Linked DNA regions of Mus musculus: all the other regions are reported to be linked to region 1. Evidence: microRNA targets listed by miRTarBase, many of them from high-throughput screens and not tested one by one. Region 1 holds a microRNA gene; each other region holds the end of a gene's coding sequence.
Evidence for each region. The annotated mature microRNA mmu-miR-211-5p reads UUCCCUUUGUCAUCCUUUGCCU and lies in region 1 at 2,487-2,508, opposite strand. An mRNA with a match to its seed (bases 2 to 7 or 8) in the 3' UTR can be bound and repressed. Matches are read on the target gene's strand: a 7mer-m8 pairs with bases 2 to 8, a 7mer-A1 pairs with bases 2 to 7 and ends in A, and an 8mer does both.

Region 1 (4,132 bases):
TAGAAACCACGTTAGGACCACCTTCTACCACTAGGCCCACGACAGGTACACCCTGGCCCAGCCCTGCAACACAACCACACTTGTTGCTCACACAAACATGAACAGCTCCAACTTGCATTAAATGCCGAAACAGCAAAAAGCACAAACTTCCTGCCACAGGGCTTTCCTTGTAGTGCTAATGTTGACCAATGCTTCGACTAAGTCAAGCGAAGGGTGACTGTCTTCATTCTTGCATTCGAACTTCATATCATGGCCCCCCACTGTAAACTCCAAATTTCAGAACTCTTAAACTCCCTGACACGCCCATGTGACCCAACTCTGGTAAAGAATCCAACACAGGGACACCCGGCCAGTTTTAAAAGCATTGCTATGAAGGCTCCTTTTCTGCCTGCCTAGGTGTGAAATGCTAGGGGCTGTCTTCCAACAATGATCCAGTATAAGGAGGGCTGGACTGAGCCAGAGGGGAATTCAGCCCAATCTAGGGCCTCTCCTCTATCAGTAAAGCACTGCTGGACCATTCATTAAAGCGCCATCTCTCAGGTGACCAGTTGTAAAAGGATCAGGACCTCACTTATCTCAAGAAGAGCAACAGACCTGAAATATAAGAATAGATTTGGCTTTTACGTAGTGTTTGGGAAGTCAAAGAGGCACTCGTGTGGTAGTCTGCTCTTGTTGCTGCCTCCAGAGCCTCGAATACGGGAGAAAAGGTTGAGCATCACCCGTCCCCAAGACATCTTCCAAGACCAAATATTTGGATTGGAGATGATCATTGGTAAAGGGTATGCAAATATGTCCAAAATTTATAAATCCAAGACTAAAACACTTCTGGCCCCAGGATATTACCTTAGGGGTAAAAGCGTGGAGTACTATTAGCCCATTGCCAATGGCTTATTTCCAGAGTCTACTCTGATTTAAAATAAATAAATAATATAATTCTTCAAGGGCACAGTAGGAATAGACAAATTTTTGGTGATAGATCCAGCAGGAAGTGATGGGAGAATTCTGGAAGCTGAGATAATACTGGGGGGAAAGTGCTGGAGAGGAGGCTTCGTGACAAACTTGCCTACTTCAAAATGTCATCTCTGCCTGGCCAGAACATATTATAGAGTTGTTCCTAGGCATCTACTAGGGATTGGCTCCAGAACCTTATAACATCCCCCTGGACACCAAATTCAAGATGCTCAGGACTCTTATATAAAATGATGTAGCAGCTGCATGTATCTTCTCCTGTGTGCCTCAAGCCATCTCCAGGGGACTCATAACGCCTGGCATGATGCAATGACATGAAAGTAGTTATTATATTGTGTTTCTGAGGGATAGCAACTGGGAAAAAACTCCATACACATTAATTAAAGACAGAATTTCTCTCCTGAATGTTTTTCTGTCTGTGACCAGTGAAGTTTTGGGCTTTGGACCTTGGCAACACCCAGGCTCACTGACTGCTGATCAGGTTTTGCTTGGTTTCTGTAGTTGTGAGCAACATTACAAGAGACAAGAGGAAGGAAATGTCCTTGATGTTATGGTTCTCAAGAGCTTCCGATAAAATCTGCCAGCACGGGCTATAAGAAGCCTTGAGACTATCAATGAGTGAATTCAGAGTCTCTCTTTTTCTACTTTGTTTTCCCCAGTGGATACTTAAGGATTCAGGATAACTTTGTTGTCTCCTGTTAGAAGAATTACAGTTGAGTTTATTCCAGCCAGCAAATGGTGAAGATATGGCATAGGCTAAGCCAGCAGTTCTCAACCTGTGGGTCTCTACCCCTTAGGGGAGTCACGTATCAAATATCCTGCATATCAGATATTTACATTATGATTCATAAGAGTAACAATGTTGCAGTAATGAAGTAGCAACAAAAATAATTTTATGGTTTGAGGGGTCACCACAACACAAGTGACTGTATTAAAGGGTCAGAGTATTAGGAAGGGTGGGACCCACTGGGCTAAGCCATGAATAAGAAATAGTGGAAAATGAAGCCGGGCGGTGGTGGCGCACACCCTTAATCCTAGCACTTAGAAGGTAGAGTCAGGCAGATTTCTGAATTCGAGGCCAGCCTGGTCTACGGAGTGAGTTCCAAGACAAACAGGGCTATACAAAGAAACCCTGTCTCAAAAAAGAAAGAAAGAAAGAAAGAAAGAAAGAAAGAAAGAGAGAGAGAGAGAGAGAGAGAGAGAGAGAGAGAGGGAGGGAGGGAGGGAGGGAGGGAGGGAGGGAGGGAGGGAGGGAGGGAGGGAGAGAGAGAGAGAGAGAGAGAGAGAGAGAGAGAGAGAGAGAAAAGAAATAGTGGAAAATGGATCAGGGTGGCATCGTCTGTCTCTGAGATTTCCATCCAAGCGTGCTTGGGATTTTTACATCGTCAGGATCATGGCGACTTCATTTCCAGAAGCAGAGAAGAACTTGCTCTTGGCTCAGGCTAGGCTTCTGAACTCTCTGCAGTAGAGGTGACCACTGAGCCCCCCTTTGCTGTCCTTGCCTCACTCAGAGGCCTAGGCAAAGGATGACAAAGGGAAGCCCACAGGTCACAGGTCCAAGCAGAATTTACAAGTCCAAAAACACTAAATCAAACTGATTTATCCACCAAGATCTGATTCTTAGGACCTCCGCACTCATGAACTCACAGTGTGGCTGGCTGCACAGGATCAAGCCGGTCAGTATTCCAGCATGAGGGTGGGGAGGAGTTGACAAATTCCCTTCTGTGGGAAGGGAGTCAGTTTTTTTTTTTAAGTGTGCGGCCCTGATAGGTTGACCACACTCTAGTGGATGCCCCCACACCTGTGATTGCATGGTCAGAACAGTAGGAGTCAAGTAGTCATTTCTTTAAAAGAGGACATGAATTCAGGGGCTGTTTGGGAGGTGGGGGTAGATCTGGCACAAGTAGGGGAGGAATAGAATAATTGTATAAAACTAAATTGTATAAAACTCTCAGAGAATTAATAGAAATAGTTTAAGCTGATTCTTGGAAATCTATAGCCTTTAGGAGTAGGCACCCCAGTTCTAACCACTTGAGTGATACCACACTTCCTTACATTCTGACATTTTCCTAGTTCTAGATTGTGGTGCACAAAGATATTCCTGGTGATGATAAGAATGAAATATTCTGTGAGATCATTTCATAATTGTCTGGCAGAAGTTTTGCATGTGGGCATTTCCCAGAAGGTTATGGGTCCTCTCATCTGGTTGGGAGCCAGTCCTTTCTCTCTAATTTATCCTCACATTTCCCCCCAGCAGTGAGCTGTGCCATCTGGACCACCAAGTATGGTGACCATCAGGAACAGATGTCCCTGTAGCCAAGTCCAAGGATTTCCTTATCTCACCATCTTAGTCCATGTGGGAGACTGAGAGCTATAGAGATATGTAATGATCCTACAACACTCATTGGGTCACAATCTGAATTATACCAAATCTTTGGGAACAAGTTTTTAGGTTTTTTTTTCCTGATAAAACATGAAGGAAAATAATAGCAGTAAGTACACTGAACAAGACCGAGGGCAACATGGTGGGCAGTGCCATCACCATGACAACCATGACAAATAGTGCAAGGGTAAGTCTCAGACCAAATTGTGAACCTGGGCAAAACATCCCATGACTGCTCTGGGAGGGTGATTTGGTAGGTGGCTAGGGCAAAGAGTTTGAGCATAGTCCATGGACCTAGCAAGAATCAGCACCCTCTGGTAATTTCCTTCTCAGCTGGTTTCCACCCTGGTAGAGTCAGTCCCGAGCTGGTGCCCATGGCCTCCCAGGACTTACTTGTGTTGATCTTCTGCAGGGAGATGTGTTTTTCCAGCTGTCTTCGAAGCTTCACCTCAGCACCATACTTGCCCAGGGTGCCGTTGTCAGCCAAGATGAAGTGAGTGTGGGAATTGTTGAGCACAGAGAGCTTGCTCAGAGGGTTGGACATGGTCTGATAGACTCTTGTTACCTGACAGAAAGCATGATGTGAATCAAAGCTGCAGAATTTAGATATTAAGTGTCATAGGAGACACAAGAAATGAGTGTAAACACACAACATATAAACTTGGTTTTGTTTTTTGATACAGGGTTTCTCTGCGTAGGCCTCTGTATAGACTGTGGGACCAGGCTAGCTTCAAACTCACAAAGATCTGCTTGCCTCTGCCTCTGCCTCTCTGCCTCTGC
Region 2 (4,026 bases), not on the chromosome of region 1:
AAATTGAAACTATCAAAATAAAAACCTCCTGAAAACGAGCCAAAGATTCTAAATGTACTAAAAAATAATTTCTTGGAACTGTACACACAATCTATAAGCACATTAAAAACTGAGACCCAGTGGAGTTCACACGAATCACCTCCTTTACTCGTGTGATTAGCTTCTCACAGCCACACAATGACATCTCCTGGGTATCAGCAGACACATCCATCAAGGCCTTTTACGTGTGTAAAGAGGGATCCATCTTCCAGAGAGGAGGCTGGACAAGTACAGTGAATGACTACAACTCTCTTTAAACAAAACTTTCTCACATTCTGTGATGAAACAGCAATTGAGAAAGATCTGGGAGTGATTGCACGAACCTGTAATCCCAGAACTTGAGAGAACGCCTTACCAGATGGAGATGCAAGGTTGGAACCAGCCTGGCCTACATGGGAAGACCAGATCTTATTTAGCTCTCATGCTTTTAGAAGGATTTACTTGACTCCTCTGAGCAAAAATATTTCATAAGTAATAACATCCTGTTTATCAGATAATTCTTTTAGTGGTTGGTTTTCAAACAAAGGAGGTTTTCTATAGTTGTGATTTATCTTTGATTATTTGCTTATACAGAGTAAAGTTTGATCAAGGCTAATGGAGCAGTTAAGGAGTTAAAACTTTTCCCCAGGAGATGATGGCTCAGCAGGTACAGACACTGGCCACCTGACTGACTGACTGAGTGTGATCTCCAAGATCACATGGCTAAAGGAAGACAATTGATTCTTGCAAGTTGCCCTCTGACCTTCACTTACACACCTCGATGAAGAAACAGACAGACAGAAATGTCATACAATATTGAAAATTTAAAAATCTGAGCGATAACTGTGGTGGTTTAAATAAGAGTGGCCCTGGAGGCTCATGTACTTGATTGCTTAGTCACCAGGGAGTGACACTTTTAAAAGAGGATTAGGAGGTGAGGCCTTGTCAGAGAAAGTGTGTCACTAGGGGTGGGTTTCAAAAGCTTAAGCCAAGGCCTCCGGTCTCTTTTCCTGCTGCCTGTGAATCCAGTCGTAGAACTCTCAACCGCTTCTCTAGCACCATCCTGCTATGCCTGCTGCCATGCTCCATGCTATGATGATAAGACACTAAACTTCTGAAATTGTAAGCCAGCCCCCAATCAAATGCTTTCTTTTGTAAGAGTTGCCTTGGTCATGTTGCCTCTTTGCAGCAACAGACCAGCAATCAAGACAGTCATGTAAGCGAAATCACCCTTCAAAATCATCCCATTCACCAAAGTAGCCCCTTTTGTTAACTCCGTCCCAGCAGGGGCGGCACAGGTGCTTTTGTAGAGGGCAGAAAATCGCTTGCTAGAATGGCAGCTGACAACCATCCATAACTCCAGTTCCAGGGGACCTGATGCCCTCTTCTGACCTCTGTGGGCACCAGGCAATGCACATATGTGTATCCAGACCAGACACTCAGATACGTACAATAAAAATATATGAATCTATTCTTACAAAAATTATAAAGTACCCAAATAGTCTCTAACTGGAGAGCAGAGGGTTTTGTGGGCAAATTATTTCAAGCTCTTCTTTTGGGAGAGAGTCCTCAGCCAGGAGGACTTCCGTTACCATCTCCTGATTCCTTTTTTAAATGTCTGTTCTAAAATGAAGCACAGTGCTCTCTGTGGTGATAGTCTATGGCTGGCACACCAAAGCGTCTCCCTCTCAACAGCACGACACACATCTGCTCAAATCAGTCCGTTGCTTGCTAGCTCAGCAGACTCCTTAGCAGGAGCAAGAGATTATAATGTGGGTTGTAGGAGGTGATCCCTTAACCACCGGAGAATACCAGGTAAACAGCAGGTTTCGTCTCTCACCACAACATCTCCTAACCCACTGTGGGCTTTTCATAGACCTTCTGAAACCTGGGCGCAGTAGGTCGTCTGTCTAGACAGCTCTATACACTGAAGATTAGACGAGTAGAAAAGAGAGAAGAGCCTGAGGTATTTTTCGAGTTACTTTTAATTGAAACCTTGACACATGTTATCTACCAGCATAATGCCCATCTTAAGAAAAATTAATAAAAATTTGAAAGTTGTGGAGATTTTCTGCTTTTTGACTGTCTCTCAACAAAACGATAAAGAGCTTAAGCTAAAATTTTGCAAGTATATTTGATGGTCTGACAGGCTTTTGAACAATTAATTTTAAAAGTTAACATACTAAGTATTAGGTTTAATGATGAGATTTTCAAGCAGAGACTCTTTTGTTGATTCTCCCCCACCGCTTTGCCCTCCCACTCCCGGGACCCCTCGTTTCCACTCCCACCACACATGGCCACAGTCCACAACTGAATTCATCCAAATCTCTGTTTGCTCTTTCCAGTTTCAAAGTCTAAACCCACACTAATACCTGCATGAACACATAAATGACATAGATAAGTTTTATATGAGACCAAACCCTTGTCATGGAAGAAAGAAAAACCAAAAATTACCAAAACAAAACTAAATGAGAACTCTAGAGGAAGGGCTTGGATGCCCACCTTCCAGACCAAACGGGGAGTCAGTACTGTGCTCTCTGTGTCAGTAAGTTAAATCTATGTGTTTCAATTCTCCATGTCTGTGAAAGGACCCCAAAAAGCAGTGACTGGAAACAGCAAGTTTGCGACAACAGTTCTGTGGTCAGGGACTGAACGGAGGCTTGGCAGAGAGCCTGGACTAAGGTCTTGTGAGTTGGCATTAGGCTGTGGACCAAGACTTTCACATACCTGAAAGGCAGGCAAGCTCTGCGGTGTCCACTGTCAAGGTTAGTCACGTGGTGTCACCCAGGGCCTCTTGGAGAGGGAAACTGACGTAGAAATGGGACAGAAGCCACAGCAGGGATCCCTGCCGGGCCTTATGGGTGTGCTTAGGAAGGTGTGTTTCTTTGGTTCAGCACACTGTAGGGGAGGGGTATACAAAGGCAAGCACCCTCGACAATGGGTGGGCTATCTTAAAGGCTTTCTGCTAGGGTTTATTTACTTGAACTGAGAGTGTCACGTGAGACACATTCTCAAGGTTTACAATTCAGACCATTCAAAATAAGACCTCCTATGCTTGCCAGCCAGTCCCCTCTCTGATCATACTGTTGCCAGTGTGTGTGTGTGTGTGTGTGTGTGTGTGTGTGTGTGTGTGTGTCCCTTTGGAGTCATTCTGTCAAATGTTAAGTTGGAAGCCTGGACACAGCCACCTTTATCATCACCTCTCTCTCACTAGTTCCAACTTGTTACACACAGATAACTTTCCCCCTCCCCTCCGGTAAATCCTAACTTCCCCCTTGTAGGCCCCACTGCAGGCTAGACGCTGCTGTGGCTAGGAGATAAGGTGCTGTCTCTCATCAGCTTTGCCCTGCCTCCTCCCATCAGCACCTGCTGCTCCATCAGGGTTGGGCGATGGAAGGAGTGAGTAGAAGGAGGTTCCCTTTCAGTTTCTGCTCTCCACTTCTTCAGAATTTTCTTCACAGAATCATCGGATTGTAGCTTGTAAACGTAGTCTGTAAATTCCCCTCCCCATTCGCATTTTCTCCTCGGGGCAGTTCTTCAGAACCTTGGTGCTTGGTTTGCTTCGGCTTACCAGGAAGCCTGTTGGGTGAGATCCTTCTTCCAAGACATTCTGTGAGCATGGTCTCGCTCTTTTTGTCCACCAGTTGAAGGTCTCACACCCTGCTGGTGACATCTGGAACATCTGTGTCTTTGGGTGTTTTTAATTTCTCATAACGTCTTGCTCAGTTCTTTTAGGACTCAGTAGATCCTGGGGACCAGGAATGCTCAAACCATCACTCCAGGAACTCATGTCCAAAAGAGGGGATGTGTCTGCTGGCTGATCAAATGCTTGCCTTGCATGGGTGGGAAGTGAAGGAAGTTTTTTACAGAACATATTTCCCACATGCTGAGATACCTTTGAAGACAAAATAATTATAGTGATTAAGTCTTTGAATTCTTTTGATAACCCTGCATTAACCACGGGGGTGGGGGAAGCCAGGAGGCTGAGGTAATTTCAGACACGGATGT
Region 3 (4,098 bases), not on the chromosome of region 1:
CTCAGCCCCTAGTCTCAGTTCGACTCCCTCCCACTTCCCAATCCCTCATCAAAACAAACATCATGAATATTAATAATAATAATAATAATAATAATAACAATAACAATAACAATAAAATCAAGATAGGAAAAAAAAAGTGGAAAGACAAAACAAAACCAGGAATCGGAAGACTGAATTGGAATCAGTTGGACCACTGGGTGGGCTGAAAGCTGTCAAAGCATTAGTGTTCATCACTGCCATACAGAAGACAAAAAGAGTAACAACTCCAAGATGGACAGATCCCTAATTCTGCATATTCATAATTTACTTTAATGTGGAGGTGGATCAACTGTTCCAAGTTGCTTTCAAAGTCTCTTAAACCGATCCTGCACCTAAGCCTCACCGCCTTCGTGTATGTCTAGTATAGGATGAACACTTATGAAATGTTTGTGTAGTATTTTAATCCTGACTTCTGCTAAGTTTCTTTCAAAAATCCAGTGCAGGAATACCAATATCTTACCTGGGTTTGATAATTACAAAATAACAACAAGGAAAACAAAACAAAACAAAACAAAACAAAACCAACACGTTAAAACGGCCACATTTCCTTTCTCCTTCTTTTTAAAACTGGAGATACACCTGATTACTACAAAGAGGGTCAGATCAGGTTTCCGCACCAAGCAGAAAGTAGCCAGCAGCTGCTGCTGGCCTTTGGGGAGTCTTTTGCTTATTTCCAAAAGGAATTTGACAATAGCCATATTACATTACCAAGTAATGAATACATCAAAGCTGGTGAGAACATGAAATTGCAGCTTTTTCTCTGTCCGAGTGAGAACAAAATATAAAAGCACCAATTGAAAAAAAAAATCTCAAATGATTTAATTTAAAAATTTAATTTTTTGCTTTGTTTACAGAGTTGAAAAACTTTGATTCTGCTTTAGTAAGCACCTTTATGATAACATGTATCAAAAGTGCCACTCTGAAGATATCCATCAATGCGGGGAGGATTTCCAGTTCCCTAAAGAGTAAACACCATATTCTTTTCTATACGCTTCTCCTGAATGTGATCGGACGATACCTGTTTCCTATATAATAATATTGTTCCTAGGGATACCCGCCTTGGCAGACTATACAAAATGAGTGCAGAATGTATCACGGAAAGAAAATCTTTAACATGGTGAGAGACCACGTACACATGTTTTCCATCGTTCAGGGAGGAGGGGAAGTTACTGTCTTTCTTCTTTGCCCTTCTTGGAGCACCTTTGTGCCACCGCATCACAGCAAAGTCCCCGAAGAACTTTTTATGAGATTTGATTCCTGCTATTCCCCTACATTTTCAATCCACCTCCACATTTTAGGAACTTCTCAACAAATCAAAGCATTTTAGTTTTATCGCTACTGAACATATTTACAATTTTCAACACACACACATACACACACACACACACACACACACACGCGCAAGAGCACACACGCACACACATGCACACAGCTAATCAAAATGTTCATGGGTTTGTAAAAGGTGACCACGTGGTAACTATCTTATTTGTTCTTACATTTTCAGAAATGAACATAAATTTCAGATTCTTGTAGCTCACTATTTCATTTAAATGACTTTTTAAAACCACACAGTTTAAAAAAAAACAAAAAACTGATACAATGTATTAAAACACATAATAACAAGAGTCTACATGTAAAAATATAACTTTTACATACACAGTTTCAAAATAATGATAGGTTTGCCATTGGTTGCATAAAATTTACAGATGTGTTTCGTCACTATGTAACTGGTAGTTCAGGACAACAAATGGGGTATTTAGACCATTTCCGCGGAGTTATGGCATTTACTCAGTGCTGATAGGTGGAAAAACTACTTCAACAGGGATTTTTTTTTTCCTTAATACATGCCAAGATTGTGTGGCTGTCAAAACAGAACCGAGTTAGAGACAAAAGGATGCTGACAAATGCTTACGTAGGAGTCCTATGTGTTCACTGCACTACACACCAAAGTCCATTGTTGGAAAGACTTACGATGGGAATTGGTTCAATTGTGCCCAGAGTCAACGCTAGCTATCTGATGAGTTGCTGTGCCGTAGTTTGATCTATGTTTCTATCAAATGTTAAGTATAAACTTCACTCATACTGGCCAGAGAGAATACTGCGTTACCCCTCCTCACAAAAGTGCAACTTAATGCTTTAGGGCTTATAAGGCTTGTTATAATGCTGCATGATTGGTTGGCATTTTTTTTTTTTTTCAGACGAAGGAGGAGGCAGGTAAGTCATCTACTTTTTAGTAAACCCATTTTGAAAAAAAAATCAAGAAAGCAACAAAAATCAATCAGCTCTGTCACACTCCTTGCAATTTTCTCATTTGACGGTTTTTGAACTTGACTTTCTTTTTTAGTTTTTTTTTCTTTTTTTCTTTTTTTTTTTTTTTTTTAATTTTTGTATTTTTTCCAAAAAAAATCTGACCATGTATTCAGAAACGTCTCGGTCACTGCACACTACTTCGGCTACACAGGTAGGTAACACTTGAATCGTTTTTTTTGTTAAATCACAGCCACTTTGATTATGTTATGTTTCCGATGATATAAACATTGGAAGGCACAGTGGTAACATTGTAGCATTCTAACCGTGTACCTCTGAAAATCCCAGGGGAGGGTAACAAGGGCAGCGCCACAAGCCAGACAAACGCTTTTTGCCTCGCCCGGGCAATGCTGCATGTAATTCCTACACATGATGTGACTTTTAAGTCCTGTGTTCCCAAAAGACTGGAGAAACAACTTTTTACTATTTGTGAATGAGAAGCAACTTCAGGGTCAGCATTTCGTCCTGCACTGCCCCTCCGGAAGCAGAGTTGGCACTACAGGTTACGATAACAAACCGGGGGAAGGGACAAAAATCAGACAAAAAAAAAAATCCATATTTACAGTAAAATCTTTCTTTTAAAAAAGTTAATCAGTACTATTTTTTTACAGGAGAAAAAAGTCTGAAACAAATCAACAAAAGCTTACCATAGTCACTAAATTTTTAATATATATTTATATATATATTTATATATATATTTGTCATAGGTCTATAACATCCATCTGTCCCTCCTACCCTAAGGAATGGCTAATGTCATCACTTCGTTGCCATCAGGACGTTTGCTGGTTTTGTTACGAGGGCAGCCGGGCTTCCCCTATTCAATATCCGGTAATTAGAAACACTAGCTGACGTGAATACCAACAAAAACGTTCATGTCGTTTTCTTCAGAAGTACACTTTTTCATTATTGCAAGTTTACAATTTTTTTTTAAATTAAATATTTTTTTCAGACTTACAAATTAATTATATTTTTTTTTTCCAAAAGAAGTTTAGGCACAAATGCATTGCTCCACAGTGTGGGAGGATTGCCATTCAGTCTCTGGGCTGTGTCTCAGCCTGTACATACCGCTTCGCACATTCAGAGTGATATGTTAAAGAAGTCGTCCCTCAAGTTGCATTTTTTTCTTTCTTTCTTTCTTTCATTCATTTTTTTGTTTGTTTTTCTGTTTTTTGATAATTGGGAATGCTGAAACCTCTTGCGTCTGCGATTCATAACTACTCAGACTTGTCTTATATTACAAAAAAAAACGGGGTTAAGGAGCAGTGTTTATGTGGGTTTAGGGTAATACAGCTGTTAAGGAAGTGGTCTCTTGTTTAATGAAGCAAGGTAGCAACTTGGACCTGAAAAAAGAAAAGGAGAAAAAAACAATTAATATAGTGATAGAAAATTTTTTTATTATGATTTTTTAAAGTGTCCCCCCCCCCCTTTTAAGAACTAAAAATAATTGGTTAATCTGGGGAAAACCTGTTGTTTGTGGCTCATGTGCCACAGGGAACTATGGGGTAGCAGCGGAACTGTGGGGTAGCAGCGGAACTGTGGGGTAGCAGCGGAACTGTGGGGTAGCAGCAATGGCGGAAAGCTCACCCAGCGTACCTTTTCACATCTGTCCCATGTGATTCGCTGCGTCTCCCATCCCAGGGTGTGGGCCAGCCAAGGAGAGTGGGGGAGGCTCTGAGGACACCTTCTCTTCCTCCCTTCTTTTCAGACAGGCAGCTTTCGGGTTCAGATTCCTTTCTGTGGAACATGAAAGCA
Region 4 (4,019 bases), not on the chromosome of region 1:
GCAGTCTAAAGGAAATAGATGATGGTGTCCTCTATTTGCCTTGCTTATTATTATATAAAGAAATAATACTCAGTGTTTTTAAGGACTCGGGGATGTTATCTAGATTAGGTAAACACAACCCAACCTTTTAGACAGTAACAGATATATAAATATCATTTTACACATGCTGTTTCCACATCGAAGGATAGATATAAAGATTAACTTTTATTTTACAAGGCTTTAAAGAAACATTAAACATAACCTTAATTATACATCAATGAAAATAAATCTTAAACAAGAGTTCATGGAAATTGCATATATCCACCTATCTTGAAAACTTATCGAAGAGTGAGGGGCAGCTACTGAAAAATCCAGGTCCAGCCCATCCTGGGATTCTAATGCTCCTTGAGCCTCGCACACGAGCTCTGTCCACCAGAGAACTGAGGACATTTGCTGCGTTACTACTTTTCAGAGAGATGGCTTTCTCGTTTCGTGACAGGCAAATCAACTGGATTCCTAAGAAATTAGTTCCACTTGGCATTTTTAAAGAATAATGATGTTCAGCAATAAAGTGATCATTAAGATCAGTGCTAGCCACCCAAATGAAGCCAAGACTCTAAAAATACATATTGGCAAATAGTGTACATTAATGAACATCAGCATATATCAGTGAATTGTTAAGGCTAAGGACTATTTCAATAAACAGATTAGAGATTATCAAAGTCTACAATATATTTTTAAATGAGTGACAGAAAATGATTCAAAAATAAATTTCTGTGTTAAAGAATTATTAGAAGAATATCATAGACTATAATAGAAAACAACATTTGGATCCATTGGAAGTGCAAAGATAAAGTATTTACATGGATTCATTGTTACCCTGAGAAAGACACACTCAGGATGAACACATAGTATTTTTGCTATGGTAAATCAATTTTCATTATGGAAATGTCATTAGACTTATATGGCTACATATAATAAACAGGATTTGAAACACATGAATTGTATAATATCAAAATCTTCTTAGTCTTTTTTAAAAAGCAAAAAGAAATAAGATTGGTTACTGCCACTTACATTCACTGTTTTACCAAGTAGGTAAAGGCTTTAAAATCTACGTTATATTTTGGTCATTTAATTCAGCATGCATTTAGCTTACGCTGGCAATTTAATTATATTATTAATAGCTTAGTTGTCACTGTATTCACCTGAAAACTTCATGTTGCATGTTTCAAAAATAGTATCTTGCTCTTTGTAAAGTTTTTTTTTTTTTACAGTGGCTACATGTTTGAAAGTTTAAGTAGTCAAGACAATAAATATCCTCCCTAGTTATGTTTTAAAAATAACTAAGGTGGAATCTTTGTGCATATATTTCAAAAGCTTGGTTAGTATATTAGAAGCTACACCAAAACTTAAAGATCAAAGTTATTGCTTAGACAGTGCATGTTGTACAGTCAGTTACTCCACGTGACTGACTGCATGCGGCACTTCAGATTCCACCCAAGAGCACGTTTAAGTGTGCGGCTGGGTTGTTTCTCTCTGAGTGACCCCTTTTCACAAGAATAAAGTGAGTGAAACTGCCCCCAGAGCCTTTTAATGTGACCCTTGACATCCACAAGTAAGGAATTCCAGGGACTCACATTTGGCTAAAATTGTATATATTCTTTGAATTTCTAAGAATGAAATAAGCAATTGACTGCTTAGGATTAAAATGTATAATATTTAAACTAAAATTCCAAAATTCATCCTAATAAATACATTTGTTCTAGAAAAGTCAGCTTCCTAGAACGTTGACTCCTCGACAACAGTATTGCTTTGGGATTAGGATTGGCTTTCAAAATATAAACCAGTGTGTTTTCCCTTACCATGCCTTTCCCCAAGGAAACCTTACAGTAGTCTAGCACCTTACATCACAAACCATTGTGCACAGAGAGCAGAGGGAGAGGATAAAGCAGCTTTTGTATCGCGGTCTAACAGGCTATAAACAGTAAGTGAATTACCACTAAACCAAAGTCTACAGGGTAACATTATTTTTCAATTGGAGAGGGAAGAGACATATATTATGCTACCACATTTTTAGGTATTTTAATGCCATATTTTGCATTAGATGAATACATTTAGCTATACATATTGTCCCTGGCCCCCAATCCCATCCCTGCCCTTCTTCTTGAGAACTAAAATGCTTTAAGTTCTTCTTAGACGAAAGATAATACTACAGTTCTTGGCTTTCAGTTGTACCTGGAAGGACTGGTATATTCTCAAATGTGTATATTTAGCCCTAGTGAAAATAAAACTTGCGTATATAGAATCTAGCTTGCTGAATAATTTAGTTTTTATTATAAAAATAATAAAAATATTAGGAAACTTTTCAACTAATAAAAATGAAAGGTTTTGCAATTATAATGTATAATTGTCAATATTTCCAGTGCTTTCAAGCATTCCTCATATAACAGCAACATAGGAGTCTTTTTAGATCTTTTCAGCTTTATTCTAAAAGCTGTAAAGCTTTAAAGGAAATGTTTAGCCATAGGAAAGGAATATAAACTGAGACATATGGTAAAGGGCTGAAGGAATTCATCGTCCTCTTAGATAGTGAGTGCCCAGAGAGATGAACACTAGCAATTTATGGCTTGAAATTCTTGGGCCTAATCATCATCTTGGCCTGTTTGAAGGAGGACTTGTAGCCACCTGGCTGTGCCTGGTTTATACCAGGCCAGGTGCCCCAGAAAATCCCATTACGGACACCTTTGTATTTCTGGTGGTAATATTTGCCATTTAAGTTGGCAGAGAGACATGAATCAAACCACCAGCCTGAGCTGTAATAGAGCCCACAGTTCCCAGAGGGGTACCGATCGTTGTCTCTGTCTGGGGTTGTGAAAAACCTCAGGTCATGGTTGTAGTGTCGACTGAAACGCAAGGCATCCCCTGCCGTGCCATTGTAGTTACCGATGTGTAATCGGTATTTGAGAAATTCATTAGCCACATAAAACTGATCATACAAGGCATAAAGTGTGAGACCATTAAAGTCTTCAAGATCTATTCTCAAAATCATTTCCTTACTCTTGGTCAGAAGATGAATTTTATCGTTGCCCAACCAAAATTCTCGTTCAAGGTTTCCAAAGCCGGCTTTGTAGTCTTTCCACTCTCTGGTGAAGTTGGTGCTGCCATCAAGGCGAGCCTGCAGCACCGTCCAGCCTCCACCCATGGTCTCCATGTCACAGTAGACCTCAAAGCTGCTGTTTCTGTGATCAGGGGTAACTCTGTAGGCCCCACTGCTTCTCCTTCCTAGCACGTAGTGGTCGGAACAATCTTTGTATATTAGATGTTGAACTGGAAGAGGGAGGAAGGAAAAGCATAAAAGCATGGGGATTTATTAGTCAAAGCTATGCACCTCAAGGACTCTCAGACTCAACAGCAATTGGACAATTCACTTGCGTTACAGTTTATGTGATAGAGGAACCTGGCTCTGATACACTCTCCTGAACCAGGCTAACAGATGCTAACTAAGGCCTCAGAACCAACTGGTGTTATCAAGTATACAGGACTGCCTTGAATGGCAATCCTGGTGGCAACACTAACAGCAAAGAGTAGTAAGAATAAGTGTATGCAAGGTTTAATGAGGGTCAATGACCTCCAGAAACTCTGCCAATCACTGTAACAGTTTTCACTGAACCCACACAGCAGCCTTACGACGTGGATATCACGGCCAGCTTGCTTATACAGTTACTTAGTCTCCCGGAAGATCAGGGAGTTTTCCCACCGCAACTAAGTGTTAAGTGACAGAGCTGGGACAGAAAGCCAGATGTACCTGACAGAGAGTTTTACTCTCATAACCATTATATTCCTCTGCCTTAACGTTGAGAGGAGTCCAAGTCTCCTAGGATACAATCAGCAATTGTTACAGCAGACTTTACAGAAATCGTTATATATGTTCTAAATGTCAGCCTTCAGTGCACAGCACTGTTCTGAAACCCATTCGTATTTCACCTGAGATTGACATAAAATGATTCCAGTTTTAAAAGGGAGGGGGGGGTTCTCCAATA
Region 5 (4,079 bases), not on the chromosome of region 1:
CAGGACCCAGAGTTGGCAGCAGTGGTCAGGGCCAGGGAGTGTAAATCTGTGCACATGATTAGGACTTCTAAAAGTGCATTCTACAAACTGAGCACTGGGGTAGGAAGCCACATCTTACTGGGACCAAAGTCCTGAAAGAACAGGAGCACATCTGGAAGCAGCCTCTCCCTCTGCCAGAGGCTTGCTGTTGTAAAGGGTCAGCACTAGCCCTCAATTGTGTTCAGCTGGGTGGACTGAGAAAGGTAGGATAGACACAAGCTCTTAGTTCAGTCCTTTTCATTCCTTGTGCAGCCCAATGACAGACACACAAGGGGTTCCAGGCCTGTTCCTCCCACACCCCTATGCACTGTGAAGCTCCCAGGAAGAGCAGGGCTCCCAGACCTGAAGATAGACAGGCAAGGCTTTCACAAAGGAGCTTGTTTTAAGGAGGCAGGGGACTATGTCACATCCTTCAGCTGTTTGTAGGCTTTTTAGAGGCAGAACTTGACTGTGTGAACCTGGAGTCTTGTGTCCAGGCTGCCTCCATTCCTCACTGCTGGTGTTCTTGCCTATGCTCTCTTGTTTTTGAGACATCCTTCCTTTGTGTCCCTGGCTGCTCCCAAATATGTTCTGCTAGAACCTCTGCAGAACTGTGATTCTACGTGTGTGCCACCACACCCAGCTATGGATACCTTTTAGTAGAGAGTTGCACGGTCCTCTTGGGTGAAATAAAGGGATATAGCTGACCCATTTCCCCCTCTAATGCAGAGGTCACACACAATGAGTCATGTGAGCTGCTGATGTCACATGCTGGAGAACTTTAGCATAGCTTCAATCTGTAATGTCTCATATTTGGATGCTGTTGTTAAATTTCTGGATTTTTCTTGTCATGTTGGCTCTCAAAGAGGGCCTGCTGCCTCAGCTTCTACCCTACCTCCAACTATCTGAAGCAGTTTCAGGAGACAGTCTTCCTCCGAGTGTGGAGGCATCTGTTTCTCTTTTGCAGGACAGGCATTTGAGTTCTTTATGGAGAGTTATATACATGTGAATGCAAGCATACTAGGGGCCAAAAGTGTCAGATCCCCCAGCGGTGGTGTTAGTTTTAGTGGCTGCTGGGAGCCCACAAGGCAGAGAGGTATGCACGGTGCTCAGCAGTCTCGGCAGCCACAGGACTTTCCTTAGGTATCTCCCTGTCCTGTTCACAAGTCCTCTGCATCTCTGAATCCTAAAGCTATTTAGAAAGCCTGCTAATGTCCAGTGACACACACTGATAAGTCATAGGATTTGGTGCCTCTGCTGCACTAACTTAATGTTGTCTGTCTGTCCTGGCAGGAGCAGATCATCAGTTTGGTCAACCAGATATGTGGCAAAGTGTCTGGCAAACACGGTGGCATCGAGAACTGTCTCAACAAACCCACACCAAAAAGAGGTCCCCGCAAGAGAGCGACCGTGGATGTGCCGCCATCTCGGCTCCCATCCTCATGAAGATGCCGAACCCATGGTCACTTATATATTTTTTGTAATTACTATATTCTAGTTTGGAGTACTTGCTGTAGGATACAAGCTGTCTTTGCACTAGCTCTAAAGAAGAATTTCTTCTGGTTTTAGAGAACTGATTTTGTTTTAGCATTAAACTGTTCAAGTTTTTGTACGTAGATATCTAGATACTGCAGTCAGGTTTGGAAGCTGCCGTACACTCACTGTCTAAAACCCTTGAGGGGCTGTATTAATTTGTATCGCCCCATGGCTGTGAAATGCCTTTTTTTTTGTTTGTTTGTTTTTGTTCTGTTTTGTTTGGTAACTGTTGAGGAATAAAGGCTTTTTAACCCATTTTTGAAGATGGTGAAGTTTGGAGAACAAATTTTAAAACCATCAGTCAGATGAGATTTTTCTAGATTGGAAAAGGGATAGAAGATACACACACACACACACACACACACACACACAGAAAAAAGAAAACTTGAAATGGCTTTACTTTGGCTGTCTTTTCTTCTGTCATGTGCGAAGGGAGTTTGTAACTTTTGGAACCGGAGAGCCCTGTTTCTTTGGCTGGGCGGTTATGGCAGCTGAAGGCAAACTGTGAGGTTTGAGTGACGAGGTTCTCATACCAGCACATCACTATGCATCCGTTCGAGGGAGAGAGAGACAAAGACAAAGACTGCCTGCCTTGGAGGGTCACTGAGGGAGACCTGTGCCTGATTTCATTAGGAAATCCATTCTGTTATTTTTTTTTGGTGCTGTTGGCTACTTTATCAAAAAAACAAAAAACAAAAAAACAAAAAACCCTTCAATAGCATCCTTGAGGAAAAGGAACAGCAGTTGACTGTAAGTGCTTCCCTGTCATCCATGTGCAATTTCCCGACATTCCACCTCCATCTCTGCTTGTGTCCCTCACATCAGCATTAATCTTTGTTTCCCTCACACTTAGAGCCACTAAGTCTGCAGTTCTTTTTGAATGTGAAACACATCTGTGCTCCTCTTGTCTATTTTTTCTCTTCATGTTTTAACAAAAAAGAAAAAAAGAAAAAAAATCCCATCCCTTTTGTACATACTCCTGTAAATTGTTTTAAATACTTGAGCCTTTTCTTGGAGGGGGAGGGAAGGGGTGAGAAGATGGAGAAAAGCCTTACGTTTCCGTTTCTTCATCGGCTGATTGGATGCTTACAGGGTTCTCTTGTGACATGTATAAGTGCTGCTTACATCACTCAACAGCAACAGAACGTGGTAGTGGAGTAGCTGTTGCCCTTCTCCGGCTGTGTGTACAGTATGTGTGGAATAAAAAAGGGAAACTGTTTTCACAAGCTGTTGTTTGTTTCATAATTGGATCAGTCCATAGCTACCCACATTGCACTGAGCTTGCCAGTGGTGACTGCCAGGAACGCCTAGGATCCACTTTGGTGGCTGTTGTTGCAGAAGACTAAACTGCTTTGGACTATTTAACGATTGCCTGACAGTCGAGTGTTTCCAATGTGGTCGTCCAGTTTCTATGGCCTTGCTGTGGACTTTCCCCTCTTTGTCGGTAACCTTTCGCCTATGGCTTACAGTTCGACATTTAATTTATTAGCGCTGCTCTGCACCCCTCCTGCCGGGAGGCTCTGTGTGGTTATTGCCAGTTCTTTGTTTACTTTTCAGGTTTGTACTACAAGGTTTAATAATAAAAAGTTTTTTGGACATTTTGTCTGTCTTGTGGGAAGGGATTGGGCTTTCTTTGGTCAGTGGGGCAGGGGCTACACATCCTCTCTTAGGCCAGGGAGCGGAGCTACAGAGGCATGTCCGTGGCACTGCTCACCACTCTGGGCTGCAACTAGGCTAGCTCATGCCCTGGGGACCTTGGGGAAGCAAGTTTCTTTCCCAGGTTGTCACCTGATGCTAGGTAAAATTAAGTTCTTCAGATCCCAATTTGACCACTATTGGTTATGCTAACAGACTCTGCCTCCCAGTATGGTAGGGCACGGTGCCCACATAGCCTGGCCTAGGTCCTATTTCCTTCAAGGCCCTCTCCAGCAGACCTCCACACCTGTGTTTCTTTAGGAACTCTTGGTCAATCAGCTCTAAGCACCTGTCAAGGCAGGGGCCTCTATACGACCCATATACTCACCAGCTGCACAGTGTTTATTCCATAAGCTTTATTGTGAGCGCTTCTCTAATGGTTCTTACATCCCATTAGCAAGTGTGTAAAATTGAAAACCTCTAAGCACCTGGCTTTGCAGGAGGATTCTGCGCACAGCTGACAAGTCACTTAAATGTCCTGAGTTGAGTCACACTGGTCACTGTCATCACTGACACCTGGGGTGGACTTTCTGTCAGTGTGTAATGTGACCAAGGCCGTGTCCACCTGTACCTCCTCCTCATCAGACTGGATGAGGGGGGCATCAGCAGTGTCCAGGTCAGTGCAGGCAGAGGGTGAGGCAGGTGGCTGGGATGCTGATTCTGAGGGACTTGGAATCTGAAGACTCATTTCATTCTGATTGGGGTTGGATTCCATCTCTGTTGAAGAAAGTAGAAAAAGCCTCTGATTGCATTTGGGAACTGCCATTGAGGACAACTGCCCGAGATCCTGTCCCTCAGCCTAGTTGTAGGGTCCACAAGTTACCTGACCA
Region 6 (4,132 bases), not on the chromosome of region 1:
AGAATTGGAGGACACGGCTGGAGTGGCACTCACTTGCAGGGCCCAGGAAGTAGCCTATATATCCATCATCAATCAGACTTCAGCACTGAGGGGGTCTGGTGCACGCACCTGCCGCAAAGAAGCAGACAGGGGCAGCTCTGCCTGGCCACAGGCTGCGTAGGTCCAGAGAGTCCGAGCAAACGGATTTGTACCTTTCTCTTACATGTGTATGGGCAAGGTGTCTACTGTGGTCCCCTGGAAAAGGCAGCATCTACCACCTGTGTGCCAGTATCCTGGCTTCACGTACCAGCCTCTGGGTACATTCATGTGTGAGCCATAACCAACCCCAGAGCTTGGCTTCCTTGTACTGCCTTGGCAGGCCCTCCATGCCACCCCTTCCTTATATACATCAATCAGCCTGAACCAGTCTAGCCTACCCTTAGTTGCAGTTAACCTGCTTTTATTTTCTGCTTCTAACTCCTGTCTGCCCACCCACCATGCACTGCAGCCCGATCCTGGCAGGAAGGCCCCTCCGCCTGGGCCCAGCAGGCCCTCGGTCAGGCTGGTGGACGCCGTGGGGGACACTAAGCCTCAGCCTGTTGACTCCTGGGTCTAGCTTGCATGCCTGGTACGTTCCTTCCTCTGGTTTGCCCATCCTTGGACTAGGGCTCCGTGTTCATCTCTGCTTGCTGCATGACTGAGCTCCCTATGTGATCTCTGGCAGGACTTGACAACAGCCCTGTTCCGGTCTCTGGAGATCAGGGTCCTGGGGAAACAGGCCCCCTATTTCCTCAAATACCCCCAGCACAGGGCCCTGTGAGGACCCGCAAGACAGGACTGGTTCTGGTGTCAAGGGTCTTGGTATGGCCCATCCCTCACTCCACAGCTACTGCTTCTGTATGGCCTATCAAGGCAGCTCCCTGTATGGAGGTCCCAAGTCACCTTGCTACACTTTGCTGCCTCTTATCTATCTGGGCTCCCGACTAAACATCTGTCTTTGCCTTCCTTTGCAGGGCCCTGGCCCAGCTGTTTGTTCTTAGGGATCGCATCGAGGTAGCTGGAAGAGGGCCAGAGGGCCCGCCATCTTGAGCAGAACCAGTCTTGGAGCCAGGAGCCCCACCCTGCTGTGGCAGGGTGGCCAAGCCTCTTGTCCTACCTTACCCTACCCTCTTCTCTACTCTTCTGCTCTAACTCTCCAGGTCTGAGTTAGCTGTTTACTGACATGGTGCTGTGTGGTAGGAGAGGAGGCTGGGGGGAGGTCCCCATGCACAGCCACAGAGGAGCAAATACAAGCCTGGATTGGAGGTCCTGGAGCAGGCAATGGGACAAGTAGGGGGCCTTGGAAAAGAACTTGGGCTCCCAAGGGTGGCTGGAGTACTACACTGCATGTAGGCTGACCACAGGGAGGGCTGCTCTAAAAGAGTCCAGACAGGGAAGTTTAGGAGGCAGCCAGATTGGGGGTAGTGGCAAGCTGTGCTTGTCACCAGCACCCCCATCCTTGGATTCCTGGAACACCTTCCCTCTGCAGCATACTCCTCCTAAGCTGCCTGTGGCTGGGGCCACCCTGGCTGTTGCATCTGCCTAGAACCTCAAGTAACCTCGGGGCCTGACTGCCGGCAGCAGTGGGGGGAACTGCTGTTCAGTGCCTGCTGTTTGTGACTTTAAAATGAAGAAAACTGACAAAATGCATTAAAAATGAAACCAAAATAAGACTATCAACAAAAATTGAAATTTTTGTAAGAAAATTTAAAGATTAAAAAAGCAGCAAAGAACTGCCTGTCTTCTGCCTTGGCTCACCAGGAGAGGGCACAGTCCTGTGCTAGCTGAGCCACCACTGCCCCCTGGTGAAGATACAGTTCCCTCAAGTCCCATTGCAGGGAGGGGGTGGAAGGGGTATGGGGGTTGTGCTCTGCCCCTGGCCTCAGGCACGTCCCACTGCTGTCACTCCTGGCTCCTGTGTGCCGGCTGACCAATATGGGCATATGTGGGAGCAGACAAGATGGAGCTGACCTTTGTTTCTAGTCTAGGAAATGGGCCCCTACTGAGGCCTTGAGGAGCCTCTTGAAAGAGATGGGGGCTAGGGTGACTCTTAAGCTTGGGTTGGCACTTCCTCAGAATCTGGGTGCCTGGCAGACATGCCTCAATGGTGTGAACTGGAGAGACTGTTTATCCCAGAGACATCGGGGACAGCGTGGCCCCATGCCTGTTTAGTCAGAGATGAGTACAAAGGCTGTTCTGCGCCAAGTAAGAGCAGTGTGGTAGCTGAAAAGAATAACTCAGTGAATTTCTTATATCCAAATATTTAGATCTTTAATTTCTTTTATAATATAAAAGAGATTATGACTTTTTTTTTCAAAGTATTTCTATGTAGCCCTGGCTGTCCTGGAACTCACTGTGTAGACCAGGCTGGCACAGAACTCAGATCCATCTGCCTCTGCCTCCTGGATTCTGGGATTAAAGGCATGCGCCATCATACCTGAAAAGTTTGTGACTCATTCTTAAGATGAAATGTGGTATGAGTTGCTGGTGACAGTACCGTCTGAGTCGTTGCTGCCATTGGTGACAGCCGAATGGTATCTGGATATGTTCAGTTTCCTGACTTCTTGCTGAGTGATGGCAGTGCCTAGGGATCCCACACTGAAACTTTGTAAAAAATCTCCTCTTCCAGTTAGTGAGGCCATCAGGATGACACCTGCTTTGATTTTTTTTTTTTTTTTTTTTTTTTTTTTTTTTTTTTTTTTTTTTTTTTTTTTAAAAGATTTATTTATTTATTATATGTAAATACACTGTAGCTGTCTTCAGACACACCAGAAGAGGGCATCAGATCTTGTTACGGATGGTTGTGAGCCACCATGTGGTTGCTGGGATTTGAACTCTGGACCTTCAGAAGAGCAGTCGGGTGCTCTTACCCACTGAGCCATCTCACCAGTCCCCCTTTTTTTTTTTTTTTAAATCTCCCTTTTTGTTCTTGGGTGCAGAGGATTCACCGTGAGGGGTTTTGCGTGCCAGGCACGCACTGTGATCTACTGCATCTCTGGCCTCAATGCAGCCTTTGATGCACAGGTGTTTTCCAGGGGTATTGTAGTGGTTTGCATGGTGAGCTCACTACCTTTAATGTGCCAGTGTATGACAATCTGGAGCCACAGGCCCTGAGGAAAGGCCCCAGAAGCATAGAGGGGGTCAGAGTGAGTGTGTGTCATCGTGCAGAAGGGAGCTGGGACGGAAGCTCATCAGGCTGAGTGGTCAGGACTTCACGGGGCTGCTGCCTGGACCCTGGTAGACTGCCTTCTCCAAGCCGTCCACCACTTTCATGTACTCCAGGTATGAGCTGTAGTGTGTGCACTCGAAGCTGCTGCTCCCCCTCACATACGCCAGGAAGTCAGGGGTTCCCGGGACAATGACATTGTCAGCTAGGAGCACCGTCCCCTTGCGCAGCAGGCCACATTCCTGCAGGGGACAGACAGGGAGGGTCAGGAATGCTTGGCAAGCACAGTGCAATCCATGGGCAGCTGCTCTCCCATGGAACCACTTCCAACTCCTATTCTTCCTCGAATCCATCCCCAGCCCTAGAGGAGCATGTAGGCCACACAGTGAAGGTTTGGAGGTTCGCCAGTTTCCCTCCAACACTCTATGCCAAGAATATGGCATCCTCACCAACAACCCTGCCCTTGAGGATCTGCTCTGGACTTTTTTTGGGCCAGGGAAGACACTAGGTGCTAGGCTCTGAGCAGGAGGGAGTCGTTCCTGGGCCCTTGGAGCAGTGGGTCTAGAACTTGTGATTGTGAGAATCCCATGTAGGATGCTTGTCTATCCTCTCTGGGAAGTATATCAGCTGATAGCATACAAATAACTGAAGTACCTGCCAAGAAAGGGGTGGGAGGGGGCAGGGGTAGGGAGAGCCAGGAAACAGGACACTTGAATATCTGTTTGCCCAGGAGGCTTAGGGGGTTGTTTTTAACATAATCATGAAACAAAAGATAATAACAGCAGTTCTGTCTGATGGGGTCACGTCTGTAATCTCAGCGGTCGGGAGGCTGAGGCAGATTCATTGGTTCCAGGCTACCCGGACTATGTAAGACATGTAAGGCACTTGTCTTCAAACATACTGGAAGCAACCCAAAATGGAAAGTAAAATCCAGTAAGTAGCCCTTGG
Region 7 (4,132 bases), not on the chromosome of region 1:
AGTTAAATGTTTGCTAGGGGAACTACTAACTCAGCTACTCATCCATTCATTAACAAATACTGAGTATCTGCATCGCACCAGGTGGTATTAAGGTGTTAGGAACAGAGCAGTGAATTTAGCAGTACTTAGCAGCCTGAGGGGTCTGCACAGGGCCAACTTCAAAAGATTTAACACAGCATGATTCACTTACAGGACCTTTCTTCCTCCTCCTCCTCCTCCTCCCCCTCCTCCTCCTCCTCCCCTCTTCCTTCTCCTCCTTTTCCTCCTCCTCCTCCTTTTTCTTGTCCTCCTTCTCTTCCTCTTCTTCCACCTGTCACTCTCTCAAATAAGGTCTTACTCTTTAGCCTAGGATGGCCTCAAACTCATGGCAATTCTCCTGCCTCAGCTTCCCAAATACTAGGATTACAGGTGTGAGCCATGATACCAGTTTTTAGATGAAATTTCTGAGATGACAAAATTCTATGGGTGGTGGTTGCCAGGGTGTAGGGACCAGAGGTTGGAGGGGCAGTCTCGTGAGGATCCTTGTGCTGATGGACCACGAAGTATATGGCGGTGAACAAAGGATGGTACCAGTTTTATATGAGCGGTAACACCAGAACTACTGACACACTCATGCACACACATATGCATGTATAAATTTAACCTGTGCTTTGGGTACCCACTAGACTCGAACAGTGAAGCGCCAATGACCATGGGGCTCCCAGCAATCAAGTGGGAAGCCACTTGGCTGGTTTCTGAGCTCCTCCATCCCAGCCATTGTCTTGCTTGGGGCTTTCCTTCTGCTCTGCTCCACATACCAGTCCACCTTGAAGTGCAAATAGCTCAGGACACCCCCTTTCCCTTCTGGGGGCTGATGTGGCTCTTGCTGGTTTTTCAGACCAGCCTGGCTTTGGTTTTCCACCCTGAACTGTGGCCCTTTTGCCATGGCTCATCCGGTCAGTGCCAGTTCAGTGACCCCCCCCTCCTGCAGAGAAGGAACCTGCAATCACTGATCATACAATAGGACTTCTTACAGGCCAGGAAGGGTGAAGTTCTGCAGCCCCACTTTATAGGCTCCGAAGAACTGGAAGACGCAGCCACATAAAAATCAAACAAGCAGCTGGGCGGTGGTGGCGCACGCCTTTAATCCCAACACTTGGGAGGCAGAGGCAGGTGGATTTCTGAGTTCAAGGCCAGCCTGGTCTATAAAGTGAGTTCCAAGACAGCCAGGGCTACACAGAGAAACCCTGCCTCGAAGGAAAAGAAAGAAAGGAAGAAAGGAAAGAAAGAAAATCAAACAAGCTCTCAACAGGCTTTCAAGGTGTTTTTTTTTTTTCTTTTATATTTTGCTACCCGTTGCATGGAATGACCACAGGGCACCATGCCCTTCTGGCCACATGACTTACAAACAGAGCATACCTGGGAAAGCCAAAAGGCCACATCCACAATTTGGTCCATTAGAAAGGATGGAGTGGATGGAGGAAGGAGCTGGGATGATCTCCCACCTTTTTTTCATGTTCATAGGTGCTTATTCCAAGAACAATAACATGGTTAATACAATTCTTGATTCACATTCAAGGTCTTTTTAAAGTGCATTTGCCTATACGTGTGTGCACTTGAGGACATGTGCATATATGTGTTAGACTGGAAGTGGACATTGGGTCTTTCCCTTCATCATGCTCCACCTTATTTTCCAAGACAGGGTCCCTCACTGTTTGCTGAGTAGGCTCTCTGGCCATCAAGCCCCAGGGACCCTCCTACCTCTGCCTCCTGAGAGCCTGGGATCTAGACACATAAGGCCATGTCCAGTTTTTATGTGGATAGCTATGGGGGGGGGGCAAGTGTCTGAACTCAGGTTATCTCACCAACCGATGTATTTTTCTCGTTCCTCAAGGTCTTTCTAAGAAAAGAAAGGGCTGCCTTAAATATACTAGAATTGGCTGGTAAAAACTTGCCTTTTCAACAAGGATTCCAATAAAATGGAACTCGAGCTGTCTCTGTGGTTTATTGTGGTATTTGAACAAAGAATAACAGCAGGATGACCATCTCCAACAACAGAAAGGCGCAAGCTTACTTACTTTTCCCGTTGCTGGGAGACGGTAACTAACAAAAGCTACTTAAGGGGGGATGGTGGTGGTTTATTTTGACCAGGGTACAGTCTATCATGGTGGGAAGGCATGATGTCAGGAGCATGAGGCAGCCGGTTACATCCACAGTCAGAAAGCTGAGAGGGGTGAATGCTGGTGCTCAAGTGGCTTCTGCAGTGAGAATTTTAGTTTCTCTAAAAGAACACATAAATATTATGGGAATATGTTTTATTTCTAATCCAAGGCATGGAGCTATGGGGCTCCCTTAAAGCAGGTGACTATGATTTGCCTCGTGCTCTAGCAGGGGCGTGGTTTTGCCAGCTGCAGATCATTTCTGCAAGTGTGTGACCTTTGGAATTCTGGGGACTTTTCAGAGGATGTAGGGCCCCAGAGGTGAGTTGTTGTTTGTTGGTGTTGTTTACTGTTGTTGGTTGCTGTTGGTTGTTGGTTGTAGTGGCTGTTGGTTGTGGTGGTTGTTGGTGGCTATTGTTTGTTGTTTGTGGTTGTTTGGTAGTGTTTTTGGTTGGTTGTTAACTGCTGTTGGTTGCTGTTTGTCATGTAGTCATGTGAGAAGAAATGAAAAGAGGAAGTTAGATATCCTGAAGGCAAAGATCAAACTTGTCCCAAGGAACTCAATGCCTCTAATCAGTACCTCTAGCCAGCAGGAAGTAGTCTAAAGATATCATCGCCCCCTCTCCTCTCTATCCTTTTTCTCTTCTCCCTAGTGTTAAGGGGGTTGATAAGTAGATGAAGAGGAATGGAGAAGGGTAGAAGAAAACGAACCCACAAAGTAGCAAAAGTCCAGCGACAGGTTCTTTCCTTTTTATTCAGGAAATAAAGGATGTTCAAAGGATGAGATGGTGCTGCCCATGTTCTGGTTGGATCTTCCTTGTCCAGTTAACACAATAAAGAAACTTTCTCACAGACAGGCTCAGAAGTTTGTTTCTTAAGAGATCCTAAATGCTGTCCACGTTGACAGTGTCAACAACTAAGTTCTACCAATGAAGCTAGCTAGCTTGCTTGCTTGCTTTCTTTCTTTCTTTCTTTCTTTCTTTCTTTCTTTCTTTCTTTCTTTCTTCCTTCCTTCCTTCCTTCCTTCCTTCCCTTCTCTCTCTCTCTCTCTCCCTCTCTCTCTCTCTCTCTCTCTCTCTTCCTTTCTTCCTTTCATTTTCAAGATAGGATTTCTCTGTGTAGCCCCGGCTGTCCCAGGCTGTCCGTTGTGAACTCAGAGATCTGCTTGCCTCTGCCTTGAGTGTTAGGATTAAAGACTTGAGCCACCATGACCCGCTGTGAAGTCATTTTCACTGTGGCTCAGTTCTGGTGCTGTCGGATCTGTGGGATGATCTGAGTTTTCAACCTCTTGCGTTTCAGCTGGAGTCTGCTTCACTGCATTCCAGTCTGCATCTGGGATAAATAAACCATGAAGGTCCAGGTGCATGTCCGCATCAACAGAGGCGCGAGCCAGTTCCGTAAAACTTTTGGCATCCAGAATGAGTAAAAAAGGCAGCTTTTGGGGATCCGTAGAGACGATGGCTGATAAAATGACTCCTATAAGAAAAGAAAAAACAAAACCCCCAAAACCAGTTTATTTCCATTTGTAATGCTGAGAGTGTAGTCTCAGGCCTTCATGCAGACTAGACAGCTGCTTTCCCCATAGGCTCCATCCCTGGTCCTAAGAGATATCTAACAGTGTTCAATGCATAGCCTTGTGTACCTGGAAAGAACATTTCTCAGAGGTGTCTCCCTGTGGTCTTTTAACTCATCCTTGATCTAAACAGGAGGAAAGAGGATATATGCCATTCTGTGTTGGCAGAAGAGAAACCAGAACTGCAATCAGCAGACCTACTTCCGGGAGCGCCGCTTTGCCTCAATGAACCTTTGTCTCTTCATCTTTGCAGTGAAGCTAATTCCCACCAACCCCTGACCTCATGGGTGCTGGGATGATCTGCAGGGTGGATTATGGGAGCACTTGGTTCGTTTTCATGTGTTTTGAGGAATGGCTCCTTTCCTAACATCTTGAAACCTCCAAGTATGGAAAGACCCAGGCAATTCAGGGAGGATGTGTG

Region 2: miRTarBase lists Samd7 as a target of mmu-miR-211-5p. Seed matches in the 3' UTR shown: 8mer at 3,433-3,440 and 7mer-m8 at 3,154-3,160.
Region 3: the mRNA of Tcf4 is a reported target of mmu-miR-211-5p. The part of its 3' UTR that is shown has no 7-base or 8-base seed match.
Region 4: miRTarBase lists Fgl2 as a target of mmu-miR-211-5p. Seed matches in the 3' UTR shown: 7mer-A1 at 1,833-1,839.
Region 5: the mRNA of Jarid2 is a reported target of mmu-miR-211-5p. Seed matches in the 3' UTR shown: 7mer-m8 at 1,881-1,887 and 8mer at 2,760-2,767.
Region 6: the mRNA of Comt is a reported target of mmu-miR-211-5p. Seed matches in the 3' UTR shown: 7mer-m8 at 2,935-2,941.
Region 7: miRTarBase lists Bco1 as a target of mmu-miR-211-5p. Seed matches in the 3' UTR shown: 7mer-A1 at 3,167-3,173.

What each region holds. Positions count from the first base shown.
Region 1 is chr7:64,204,207-64,208,338 of GRCm38, reverse strand. It overlaps Mir211 (microRNA 211), which reads right to left and starts at 2,533; the gene lies at 2,428-2,533. It overlaps Trpm1 (transient receptor potential cation channel, subfamily M, member 1), which reads right to left. Exons shown (of 27, transcript NM_001039104.2): 6 at 3,746-3,917; 7 at 1-63.
Region 2 is chr3:30,765,134-30,769,159 of GRCm38, reverse strand. It overlaps Samd7 (sterile alpha motif domain containing 7), which reads right to left. Exons shown (of 8, transcript NM_029489.3): 8 at 1,986-3,913. The coding sequence ends at 3,719. Among named protein-coding and RNA genes, the nearest start is that of Gm33590, 10 kb to the right of the region's middle.
Region 3 is chr18:69,682,665-69,686,762 of GRCm38, reverse strand. Tcf4 (transcription factor 4) reads right to left here. Exons shown (of 20, transcript NM_013685.2): 19 at 3,940-4,080; 20 at 1-3,686. The coding sequence ends at 3,944. Among named protein-coding and RNA genes, the nearest start is that of Gm31439, 30 kb to the right of the region's middle.
Region 4 is chr5:21,374,541-21,378,559 of GRCm38, reverse strand. Fgl2 (fibrinogen-like protein 2) reads right to left here. Exons shown (of 2, transcript NM_008013.4): 2 at 174-3,306. The coding sequence ends at 2,600. All of the region lies in intron 2 of Ccdc146 (coiled-coil domain containing 146), which reads left to right. Among named protein-coding and RNA genes, the nearest start is that of Fgl2, 3.9 kb to the right of the region's middle.
Region 5 is chr13:44,918,489-44,922,567 of GRCm38, forward strand. It overlaps Jarid2 (jumonji, AT rich interactive domain 2), which reads left to right. Exons shown (of 18, transcript NM_001205043.1): 18 at 1,312-3,155. The coding sequence ends at 1,464. It overlaps Dtnbp1 (dystrobrevin binding protein 1), which reads right to left. Exons shown (of 10, transcript NM_025772.4): 10 at 3,591-3,966. The coding sequence ends at 3,719. Among named protein-coding and RNA genes, the nearest start is that of Dtnbp1, 82 kb to the right of the region's middle.
Region 6 is chr16:18,404,615-18,408,746 of GRCm38, forward strand. Comt (catechol-O-methyltransferase) reads right to left here. Exons shown (of 6, transcript NM_001111062.1): 6 at 2,268-3,426. The coding sequence ends at 3,223. It overlaps Arvcf (armadillo repeat gene deleted in velocardiofacial syndrome), which reads left to right. Exons shown (of 18, transcript NM_001272029.1): 17 at 488-607; 18 at 993-2,462. The coding sequence ends at 595. Among named protein-coding and RNA genes, the nearest start is that of Gm15764, 6.9 kb to the right of the region's middle.
Region 7 is chr8:117,132,456-117,136,587 of GRCm38, reverse strand. Bco1 (beta-carotene oxygenase 1) reads right to left here. Exons shown (of 11, transcript NM_021486.3): 11 at 2,868-3,614. The coding sequence ends at 3,328. Among named protein-coding and RNA genes, the nearest start is that of Gan, 23 kb to the left of the region's middle.